Linked DNA regions of Caenorhabditis elegans. The main gene of each other region encodes a partner of the protein of the gene in region 3 in a complex. Each region holds a gene or a part of one and is shown on either strand. Other genes may lie near its edges. The genes, in order: eif-3.K, eif-3.F and eif-3.H.

Region 1 (3,540 bases), on a different chromosome or scaffold from region 3:
AGAGTTATATATGCTCAAAATCTATGAAGTGCATCCACTTTCTACAATCAAGGCTATAGCTGCTACAGTCTACCGTATCATCGATTTCTGCTCAAATTTAAGAACTCCTGTTGAAAACAACGGCAAGGTGGCCAGCAAGCAAACCGCGAGAGAGTTGGTACATTTCTTGTGAAGGAGACCGTGTACAGATTCCACGTCGCGCTGGCCGAGCCTTTGAGGACTAGTAATACGGTGGAGTGTCGTTAGCGCGCTCTGTTTAGCAAACATTTTTCATTTATTTTTAGGGTTTTCAAGAGAACATTTCAATAGTTTTCATCTGTTTTTTTTTGTATTTTTAACATTAGTTGTTTCAATTTTTTTCAGAAATGAAGGTAGTTCTTCAACGAGTTACTCGAGCTGCAGTCACCGTAGGTGATGAAGTGGTAAGAATATATTAACCGTTATTGTTTAAAATATCATAATCAGGTAGGTTCCATTGGAAGAGGTCTGTGTGTGCTTGTCGGAGTTCATCGAGATGACACGGAAGAGGATATGAAGTATATCATTAGGAAAATTTTGAATCTACGAGTTTTCCCTGCTTCGGAACAAAAACCATGGGATAAATCAGTTATGGATCTCGATTTAGAAGTGCTGTCTGTCAGTCAGTTCACCCTTTACGGTCAGTTTAAAGTGAGTTTTGTCTAATATACTTAAACAAAACTATTCATATTATTTCGTTTTTTAGGGAAATAAACTGGACTTTCATACCGCAATGGCCCCAACAGAAGCTTCAAAATTTTATGCTTCTTTTCTTGAAGCCATGAAAAAAGCTTACAAAGCTGATAAGATTCAGGACGGCAAATTTGCAGCAATGATGAGCGTCGATATTGTAAATGACGGACCTGTTACAGTTACTTTTGATAGTAAAGAAAAATAATAAAAATTTGTTTTACTACTGTTGAATTTTGTACAATTTTGTTCATACAGCGGTTTGATTCCGTCATCATATCTTAATTATTTTCATATATTTATATTCTCTGGCAAAACCTCATATTACGTATACCTTAAATGCGAGTTTTCAATATCTTACGCACATTGGTCTCACCACGCAGACGACGACTTACTGTAACTTTTGTCGATTTATGGATTTTGCATTAAATTTTGATTATATAAATCGTAACAGAAATTTTTCCTTTAATTTGAAAATTATGAGGCAAATGTGGCCCTTAATTTGACACCAGTTACAGTAACCCGATATCAGCGTGGCGAAACCCATACGCTGAGTTTTCCTCTAACAATAGTTTTTTCTTATTTCTAATGTAAATCTCATTAAAAACTGAAAAAAAAACTTGGAAAAACGTCTCCATTTCAGTTTGTCTGATAGCAAATCGAGTTCACTGAAATCTCTTAACCCAAATGGGGAGTGCCTCTAAAATCGAGGAAGATCTGTGCAGGATATGCCTTCAGATTTATTCGATGCGCCTTTAAAACTATTGTTATTTTGATTGAGAAAATTTTTTTTCTTTCTCTTAAATATTTTTCTATCAGTTTTGATGTGTTCTGTAGCTTTTTTTCTAATTAATGGAGAAACTTAGCGTAATTTTAATCGATTTGACAAAAGATGTGCGCAACTTTATGCAAGATTTTTTTCACTTTGCGCAGGACTTCATCGAGTCTGTTCAGGAGTTTCACTCTACTTATTATTTCTCGCAGAGTTTCTTTTCTTCAATTGCTATAATTTGTTTTTAAGATGTCGTTCGAGAAACTGCAAAAGGAATTGCACGAAGCTATCGAAGGAGTAAACCGATACAATCCGGAAAATGTTGCCGACTTGGCTGCCTGCGTTCAAGCTATGGTCAATGAAAACAAGTACGATAAAGATATCGTTTTGACCATTCTCAAGCTCTACCAGCTTAACCCGGAGAAGTAAGTATTCAAGAAGATTAATAAATTTCAAAGAGAATTTTTCACAGGTACGACGAGGCTGTTGTTCGACAAGTTTTGCTCAAGACGTTGATGGTTTTGCCATCGAGTGATTTCGCTCTCGCCAAGTGTCTCATCGACACCAACAGACTCGGATCTCAAGAACTTCGCAGAATCTTTGATCTTGGAGCTGTGCTCGAATCTTGCAACTTCGCTGTTTTCTGGAAATTGGTGAAGGGGGCGTATAAAGTGAGTTTTTACACTTTTCAAAGAATAGATTTATCTAATATTGAAACAAGTGAGCTTTTCAAAATCAAACCTTGTTTTGTGTGCATCTGAAACTCAGTATTTATTTCAATGCTGAATCTATTTATTTTTGGAATATTCTTTAATTTCGGCGTACGACTAATCAATTTTTAAAATTTCAGCCAACAACGAACCCAAATGAACCCTTCAAAGTTCCTGGCGAAGTCCCAAAAATGATCAAGCCAATGGTCGGATTCGAGGATGCTGTCAAGCACTGTCAGTTAAATATTATTTTTATTGCTTGACAATTTCAATACCAAGTTTTCAGATGCTTGTCGCGTCATCAGTGTTACGTTCCAAAAAATCGAAAAGAAAATGTTGAGCCGTCTTCTCGGCGGAGCCAGTGACAAGGAAGTTACCGCACTGGCACAATCATTCGGATGGGAAGCCAAGGAAAATGGAGATGTTTTCTTTGTTGCAAATCACGAAGGAACTATCAAAACAAGAAATATCGACGAGAAAATTCAATTCCCACGTGAGTATTATGCGTATTAGGTTTTTCAAACGATTTAAAAAATGTCCTAATAATCGAAGAACAAATTTAAAATGCCTAGTAAAATCTCAAGTGCATCTATCATTTTCAGATGTCGCCGATCTTCTGACCAGCATTCAACCCCCGTTGACTCTTTAATATCAATTATCACTGTCATTCAAATTATAATACCCTTGTTTCTGTTGTTCGGTTTTCCCCCGTTTCTATTCCCTTTCCTATTTATATTTCCTTTATGTTTTCATGAACTTTATTCAATATTCACTTTTACCCGCATTTTATGCATATAATATTTAACATGGATCTTCTTTTAGCGTCAAGTCTCCGTCGTTGCTCCGATGACTCTCAAACCGTCAGGTGCTCTGACTACCCATTCAGGCCACCCGCCAAAATAGATCTTCCCATTGTAACCAGATCGTGTCAAAGCCCACCAAACCATTGCCGATCGAAGTGACGTGGAACAGTATATAATCTGAAGAATATGATCTAGCGAGAAATATTATCATAATTTCAAAAGATTTTAGCATGTCTTCTCGAAGACGCATGGATTCATCCAGATTGGTCTCGACGCGCAAATAAGTTTATGGTACTTCTTTAATTTTGCATTTTTCAATGAAATTATCTTGTTTACAGGGTGGGCCAAAAGTATGGTAACACGTTTGCAGCTCTATAACTTTACTAGTGAAGAGAGTTATTACATCAATTTGTACAAGTTTTGTTCTCCATAAAATACTGACCAGATGAACGTTTTGAATTTTCAAAATGTTCCCATCCGCATCGCTGCAGGCCTTCAGAACTTTTGAGATCACGACCTTTATGGCACGCAAGTCGGCATTCTGCGG
Region 2 (3,754 bases), on a different chromosome or scaffold from region 3:
TATTTACAAGTTTCTATTTATGTGTTTGTGCAATGCTCTAATTGAGATAATAATAAAGACAATTTAATTGTATGCATAAATTTCAAAAAATTGGAAACGCTAATTTCAAATTCGGGAGGGTAGCGGATATCATATCCCGACATCTACCGGGTTTCGCGCGGCACAGAAAATGTATAGGCATTCCCTAAATTTGCAGATTTTTCGTGTTTTTAGCTAAAGATTTAATTTCCTCAATTTTTGAGAAAAAAAAACTAACAATTCTGTACTAAACTGAAAAACGTATAAACTTTACTAATTTCCAACAAAAAAACTTTTTGAGGTTATTAAAAAAAACTATTTTGATCAAGATATTCGAAATTTTCAAAATCACGTACGAATATTACACAACTTTTCATTTCTCGCTTTTTAAATATTTTTGGCTGAAAACTTACACGAAGAGTATTCTTGACAAGAGTATCGAGCTTCTCTGGCTGCATATTGTTTGACGAGGCAGTGACAATATCCATGAGTTGACGACCGATTTGAGCATCTCCTGGCTTCTCACCGTTCTTGTTAACATCTTCCACGTAACTGAAAATCACGGTTTATTCTCCAATTAAGATAATTTTAAATGTTAAAACTCACTGCAACATTCTCTCCAACCACTCAATCATCTGAGCTGTGCTCGTCTCCAATTGCTCCAATCCACTTTCAAGAGTTGCCTCTCTTCTTCTGGAATCCAAAGCTTTTTCGATAAGTTGCATAGCAACCAGTTCTCCCGGGAATGCAGCTAATTCGACACGAAGTGGGTTGAAAATAGCACAGTGTGGTCCAGCAGCTCCAGGAATTCCGGCTTTTGAGCGAAGATAGGCACGAACTGGCATACGCTTTGACATATCTCCAGAGAAAGTCGTGTCAATTGTCAAAACGACAATTGGTGGAGATTCACGACGAGCCGATGCTTCAGTGATGACACGTACATAGTAGTCGTGATAGATGAGACACGAAGAAGTAATGTCAGATGTTGTAAGGAACCATCCAACTGGTTGCTCATTTGGAGAAGTTTTCTTTAATGCAGAGATCATTTGTTGATTGAATTGATCATCGATTTCCAAATCGTCGTTGCTCTCATTGAAAGGGATCGCGAAACAATTTGTGACCTGGAAAATAAAAATTGGAGAAAATATCATGAATTCCAAAAAAAATATTATTAGCGAAAATCATCCATTTTGCAAACTTTTCAGGGTTACAGCGGCCAGAACTTGCTTCTAGTTCCACAAAAATGCAATAAATTGTAATAATTGAATATTATTAAGTTCCGACCTTTGTGACACGGGAAAGCTTGCAAAATTGAAGATTTTAGCTGAAAGTATACTTTTTTCAAAATTTTGGCATATTTTTGTGTGAGCACTTGAGCATTCGGTCATTTTGAGTTTTTATTCGTTGTTTTAGATACTTTTTCGGTCGATGGTATTTACATAAAATTAAAAAAATTAGATTAAATACAGTTCCAGACACCAATAAGCTTGCAAAATTTCAGTTTTTTCAAAAAATTAGGCTCTTTTTTCTGTAATTATAAATATTTTTACCTGAATCGATCCTTTCTCATAGTATCCCATAAGTGTTCCCATGCACTTTTCCTGTCCTGTATTTTTCGCAGAACTCTTGGTACGTCTCATATGAGTGTCGACAACATTCATGTAGACTCCCGGGTGGACATTGACAGTTAAATTCGAAGCCATATTGACTTTTTTCTGAACCCTGTAATTGAAAAAAAAACTAAATTAAAGAAATAATCTGAATCAAAATAGTAAATTCAGCTGAAAACTGAAAAATGGTTTTGAAAAAATCAATAAAAAATATAAAGTTCTTAATAAATATTTTAAATTATTTATTTATTTACAATTAAAAGAAAAATTGTGTTTTTCAACGAAAAAAAAGAGAAAATAAAATAAATGTTCTGTGAATCAGAGAAAGAGATATAATTCCACTTATACATATATACTTTATCCTGGGAACGAGAGGGGGCATCAAGAGAGAGAGGGCATAGACTTAGTCTACCGAAAGTTTATAGTTTTATCACAACTTTTACTTATATTCACATGAGATTTTTAGAGAGACGTGCAAAAATTAAAAAAAAAAACAAAAAATAAATGGTGGAATTTTAGATAGTTTTTGTGTGCAACTAGACTTCTGAGCTTATTTGGAATCATTTTTCGATGCGGAAAAAAATTATGGGTAAATTGGCTTTGTTTTCTACGTGTTTCCCCATAATTTTGAACTAAACACTTTCTCTAATGTCATTTTTTGTTGTTAAATTTACAAGTTAATTTCTTCGCCTCAATCCATCGGCTGTTTCTCCTGAACCATAAGCTGGTGGTGCTTCAAATTGTCCAGCAACATGAAGTTCTTCAGTTGGATGTGGGCCGCGTTCTGGTCCGATTCCTGGATATGGTGGTGGTGCTGAGCTCATGAAAACTCGTGATGGGTTCGGCTGATCTGGGAACGAATCGGTGGTTGGATTGAAACCATTTGGTCCTGAAAATGTGAAATCTATTATTAATCGGATTAACCGGGGAATAATTTTAAAATAAAAAAAAAGTTAAATGCGGTTTAATATTATTTTTCTAACGAATTTGATAAGAAAACCATTAAATCCAAAGAAAGATGGTAAAATCAATTCAAAAATCAACAAAATTGTGAAACAAAAATGCAACGAGGTGGAAGAAAGTTGCATTAGAGCACGTTTTCATTTTTGCAAAACTGTCTGACCAGAACTGAAGATTTTTGGTATTTTTAGCAAAAAATCTCTCTTAAACAAAAAGTGATCGAAAAAAAAAAGAAAAAACTCGTTTTTTTAAAAATTAATCTTTAAAAAATTTTAAAAAATGTTTCAAACTTGGATTCCTTTTTTTTTCGTTTTTCAAAAAAGTGAAAAATGTTCAAATTCATACAAATCTCTAATGATTACGCTTAACATTTTTTAGGTAATTTTAATTTCGAATTCAGGATTATTTTTAATGTTCAAAAAATCTTACCTTGATCCGGCGACGGCTGATAATAAGCTGGCGGTGCAGAGTAGAAATCTCCAATTGGTGGAGAATATGCAGGTGGAGCATTCTCTGGTCTCATTCGAACAGCTCTTTCGACTGCTTGCAATAGAGATTGCCCGAATTCAATACATCCCCCTCTGTTGAATGTCATTCTCCATTTAACCTCTCCGCGCATTTGTCCTCCTTGAACAGCCGAGGCGATTCCACATAGGTAGTTGGCTCCGAAAATCGGCTGGTTTAAGTTAACATCTTGCATACTGTTGAATGGAATTTCAAATGATTTCAGCCAATCTCCAGGGTCTGGCATGAAAATGATTCTGTGTGATGTGAGGTAGATGGTTCCCGTTCGACGTCCTTCCAAATTCTATAAATTCGAAAATATGATTATAATTTTCAGCATTTGTGCTAATGAAGATTTTTGGTGTTTAAAAGATATGAAAAAAATACTGCAATAAATTACCTCATTTTCACTGGTTCCTAGTGTCATTACTACTCCTTGTGCAAAAATCACGATGGTTTCTCCATTATACAGTAGGACACCAAGTCCGTCCGGCGTGTTCGCCGTGTTGATGGACATCTAAATATAAATTAAACAAGTGGTAGCAGGATAAAAAAAGGTACCCAGAAGCGGATTTTCTATCGAAAAACCGAAGCATAATACGAAAAAAAAACAAATGAAAATGTTAGTTTAGGGAAAAATCTTCGTTTAAATTTTAAAAAAT
Region 3 (3,754 bases):
TTGGACCCTAAGAGCATTGTGAAAGAGAACGGAGCAAAGAAGGGAGGATTACTTTGGTGATTGATTGGATTGTGATTCCGGTGAATTTTAGGTTTAGGTTGTTTTGTTTTTGTTTCACAAATAAATTTTTTGTTAACTTTTTTGATTTACTGATTGAAAAAACTTGAAAACTCAATTAAAAAGAACAATACCAATAGAAATTTTAAAATCTTAACTTACTATTAGTCAACAACAAAAATTCATCCGAAATAGGGGAAGGTGGAAAAGGATACCAGAAAGGAATTTCATACGGCAAAAAAATTTGGATGAAAAACAATATCCCTATATTGAAAGTGAGACATTATTTTATGTCACTAGTTTTATGTAATATGAAATTCCTTTCACCGAGAGAAAAATATTTTAGAAAAGAAAAAGTAAATTAAAGGGAACAGGGAGGAAACAAAAACACGAGTATATTTGGGAATCTTAACGAGTCGATGAGACAGAGCTCAAAGTTCTGTCTTTTGTTCCGGCGACTTTCTCCTCAGCAACAGCTTCAGCGATGAACATTTTCGTGATATTTTCGCTGGTCACAGTCTTCGAGAAGTCAGCGAGAGCGTTGGTGTCAAAACTGGCGAGAAGCTCATCCAAAAGTCCATTTCTTGTTTGGAGTTGTGGAGCCTTGATTCTCTTGATGTCATCCATTGGAATTGTTGGATCACCACGGGCCACACGTGATTCGTTCTCCTGTTGCTGAAATTGGAAAAATATAAATTTTTAATGATAGAGATTTTTTTTTCGAAAATCGTGAATGGCACCTTTATTCCACCGAAAATGTACCCCTCACATCCGGTTTTATAGTTAGTGGAGCCTCGATATGTTGGAAAATGGTTTTCAAAAAACAAGACTTTAGGTTTGAAAGCCGTTACACTTCGGAATATAAATTTTAGCGATACAATCAGGATATTTTTAATTTCAAAATTCGAAATTCTTACTCTTTTCTGCGTCAGACTGAACACCATATTATCATGTCTTTGCTTGTCAATAGTGTACTTCGTCAACGACTGAATTGACTTGTTCAGCTCATCAACATTAGCCATCATAGCTCGGACCGACTTTTCAAGCGACTTCTTGGATCCCAAATCGAAGTGTCTCGTGGAGTACTTGTCAGAAGAGCATGATTTAGCGAGTGAAAGCTCAGACATGAGAACATTGTTGAGATATGAGGATTTGATGATGATTGGCAACTCCTCGAACATGTTCTGGTATGTCAAACCAGCGGCTTTCACCCTGAAAAGATATGTCTTTGCAAATATATTTTTAAACTCAAAAACCATACAATTCTGGTCTCCAGTCATTCTTTGAAGCGAGATCAAGAGCAGCGGTGGAAAGACGCCAGGCTCTTAGAGAAAGCTGTCCTTGGCGAGTCTTGATTGGATCTGAAAGCAATTAGAATTAATTATTTATCCTCATTAATCTGTCTAACCATAAATAAGAACAACATTTTCTGGGCCCATAGCCTGGTAATCGAACATAGATTCTACGAGATCGTGTGAGAAACCGGCTCCGAATTGATGAGACTGATAGAATCCAACGATTTCGTAATCGATATTCATTGTACGGAATTTGCGGAGCATGTCAAGCATCTCGTGTTGCTTTTGCTCTTCGTATTGTTGAGCGGCCTATAATAGAAAATATATTGGAATCACTAGCATGAGCTAATTTTACATTAGCATCGTCATCCATAACTGGCTCGTTGCGAACTGTTGGGAAGCAATTGGTGATTTCCAAGCGAGAATCTTCAAGGAAAACAAGACCGGTGAGAACTCCGGCACAAGCGTCTCCAGATACCTGTAAATTACATGTTAAGCTTGAAATTAAATTAAAATAATATACCTCACTAATTCCTGCATGAAGTTCACTGTCCACGTGCTTCACAATTTTCATAACCACAAGCGAATCCAAAAGGATATGCTTGACGCTCGGAGCGGTAATTGTCACTGCTGTCGACATTTTTGATAACCCTGAAAGATGAGCATTTAGTTTTTCAAATTTTCTAAAGAACAATAAACAATAACATGCATCTCACAAGAGGAAAAATCAATAATCTAAGCATCACGAATTTTTCGAAAGAAAATTAAAAATATAAATTTCAGAAAATTGGCGAGAAAAACCTCAAAATAATCAATAAAATCTTGAAAATAGGAAACACTCCACGAAATTAATTCCTTCCGTTGTTGTGTGCAACTGCGCGTCAATTGTAGTGCATGCACACAATTGCACACCGTACCCGCGCGTGATCTTTTGATTTGAATTCAAATTTTTGTCGTTCTTTTGTTTTTGGGATTTACTTTTTAAAATGCTTTTTGAAACTTTTTAAGAGAAATTGTATATTTTCAGATGCAATCGAGTGCATCCAACGACCCTAATAAACCTACAAATAATGAAATAATAAAGGTAAGCGCATTTATGAAAAAAAAATCAATAAAACACAATTCTTAAATAAACTAGCTTTATTGGAATCCATTTGAAGATTTAATATTATAACCAAATGCATATTAAAAAATAATTGTAAATTTGTTTCAGACACCATTGGTTCCACCAAGTCCACGTGGAGGATTAAAACGAATGGCGGGAATGAGCCAATTGAAATCGACTTTTTCAATTTCTTTGGAGGTAAAACCCTCAAGTTTCCAGCATTTTTGTTTAATAATATTCATAATAGTCTCAGAGAACAATCCCACCACCATCATCGTCCTCATCCTTCCTATCCCATTCAACATCGATGGTTTCTGTAGCAGCGAGTCTCAAAAGAGCCGGTGTACCTAGTCTAACTCGAACAAAGACTAGTGCATTACCCATAAAAATGGAGAAAAAGCCAATGGTTCCATTGCGGATAGAACAGGACCACCAGACACCGATCCGAAAACTGGCTCCGGAGAGTATTCCAAGCCTGGAAGATCAAGTAACACCGCCAATGCGTCGATCTAGTAGTGGATCAATGCTGTTGAGACAGACGCCTGAAAGGATTCGAAGGCAAGAAGAAGATGTGGAAACACCTGGTTCTCCAGTTAAAAGATACCGAAGATCCGGGTCAATGCCACGATTAGAGGCCCAGTCCCTTGATGTTCCAATACGAATGGAAATTGGAAATAGCTTAACTCCTGTGTTAAAGAGGAAGAGAACATCTTCATTAACGGTAATATATTCAACTGAATCATATCAGAGCTGGGCGGCAAATTTTTTTTCGAAAAATTCGGCGAATTTCCGAAAATTTGATTTTTCGGCAAATGCCGATTCGCCGGAAATTTCAATTCCGGCAATCTGAAATGTTTTCCCGTTTTTCTAGATATTTTCATAGAATTTCCTTACTTTTCAAAATAGAAGTAGGAACATATTTTTTTATATTACGGGAACACAAAATACTGAGAACGCGTATTACACAACATATTTGACCCGCAAAATATCTCGTAGCGAAAACTACAGTAATTCATCAAATTACTCCTGTAGCGCTTGTGTCGATTTACGGGCTTGATTTTGGAAATATCTATCGATGAATAAATAATTTTAATTCATTTCGAGAATCGAGCCCTTAAATCGACCTACAGTAGTCATTTAGATAATTACTGTAGTTTTCGCTACGAGATATTTTGCGCGTCAAATATGTTGTGAAATACGCATCATCAGAATTTTGTGTTCCCGTAATAGGAGGCGTACAATTTCGCGTCTTTAACTTGAAATTCTGAAGTTTCCAATAAAAAGTGCAACAGCACAG

Evidence for each region.
Region 1: eif-3.H (region 3) and eif-3.K share a complex: the UniProt entries of both Caenorhabditis elegans proteins name them as parts of the eukaryotic translation initiation factor 3 (eIF-3) complex.
Region 2: eif-3.H (region 3) and eif-3.F share a complex: the UniProt entries of both Caenorhabditis elegans proteins name them as parts of the eukaryotic translation initiation factor 3 (eIF-3) complex.

Annotation. Positions count from the first base shown.
Region 1 is NC_003283.11:12,952,273-12,955,812, forward strand, and holds eif-3.K (Eukaryotic translation initiation factor 3 subunit K), read left to right. Parts: upstream 1-1,729; coding exon 1,730-1,905; intron 1,906-1,952; coding exon 1,953-2,151; intron 2,152-2,330; coding exon 2,331-2,424; intron 2,425-2,476; coding exon 2,477-2,683; intron 2,684-2,792; coding exon 2,793-2,839; 3' UTR 2,840-2,957; downstream 2,958-3,540. Other genes in the region: pqn-68 (D-aminoacyl-tRNA deacylase), read left to right, coding at 366-422, 466-669, 725-916; mpst-7 (Rhodanese domain-containing protein), read right to left, coding at 3,015-3,170. UniProt on the Caenorhabditis elegans protein: Component of the eukaryotic translation initiation factor 3 (eIF-3) complex, which is involved in protein synthesis of a specialized repertoire of mRNAs and, together with other initiation factors, stimulates binding of mRNA and methionyl-tRNAi to the 40S ribosome.
Region 2 is NC_003280.10:9,329,629-9,333,382, reverse strand, and holds the start of eif-3.F (Eukaryotic translation initiation factor 3 subunit F), read right to left. Parts: upstream 1,741-3,754; 5' UTR 1,722-1,740; coding exon 1,569-1,721; intron 1,140-1,568; coding exon 625-1,139; intron 571-624; coding exon 432-570; intron 1-431. Other genes in the region: wbp-2 (GRAM domain-containing protein), read right to left, coding at 2,306-2,517, 3,018-3,396, 3,493-3,609. UniProt on the Caenorhabditis elegans protein: Component of the eukaryotic translation initiation factor 3 (eIF-3) complex, which is involved in protein synthesis of a specialized repertoire of mRNAs and, together with other initiation factors, stimulates binding of mRNA and methionyl-tRNAi to the 40S ribosome.
Region 3 is NC_003279.8:4,442,968-4,446,721, reverse strand, and holds eif-3.H (Eukaryotic translation initiation factor 3 subunit H), read right to left. Parts: upstream 2,004-3,754; 5' UTR 1,993-2,003; coding exon 1,876-1,992; intron 1,831-1,875; coding exon 1,708-1,830; intron 1,662-1,707; coding exon 1,466-1,661; intron 1,419-1,465; coding exon 1,319-1,418; intron 1,270-1,318; coding exon 975-1,269; intron 733-974; coding exon 466-732; 3' UTR 109-465; downstream 1-108. Other genes in the region: cps-6 (Endonuclease G, mitochondrial), read left to right, coding at 1-60; C41D11.3 (Cysteine/serine-rich nuclear protein N-terminal domain-containing protein), read left to right, coding at 2,380-2,436, 2,566-2,655, 2,705-3,178. UniProt on the Caenorhabditis elegans protein: Component of the eukaryotic translation initiation factor 3 (eIF-3) complex, which is involved in protein synthesis of a specialized repertoire of mRNAs and, together with other initiation factors, stimulates binding of mRNA and methionyl-tRNAi to the 40S ribosome.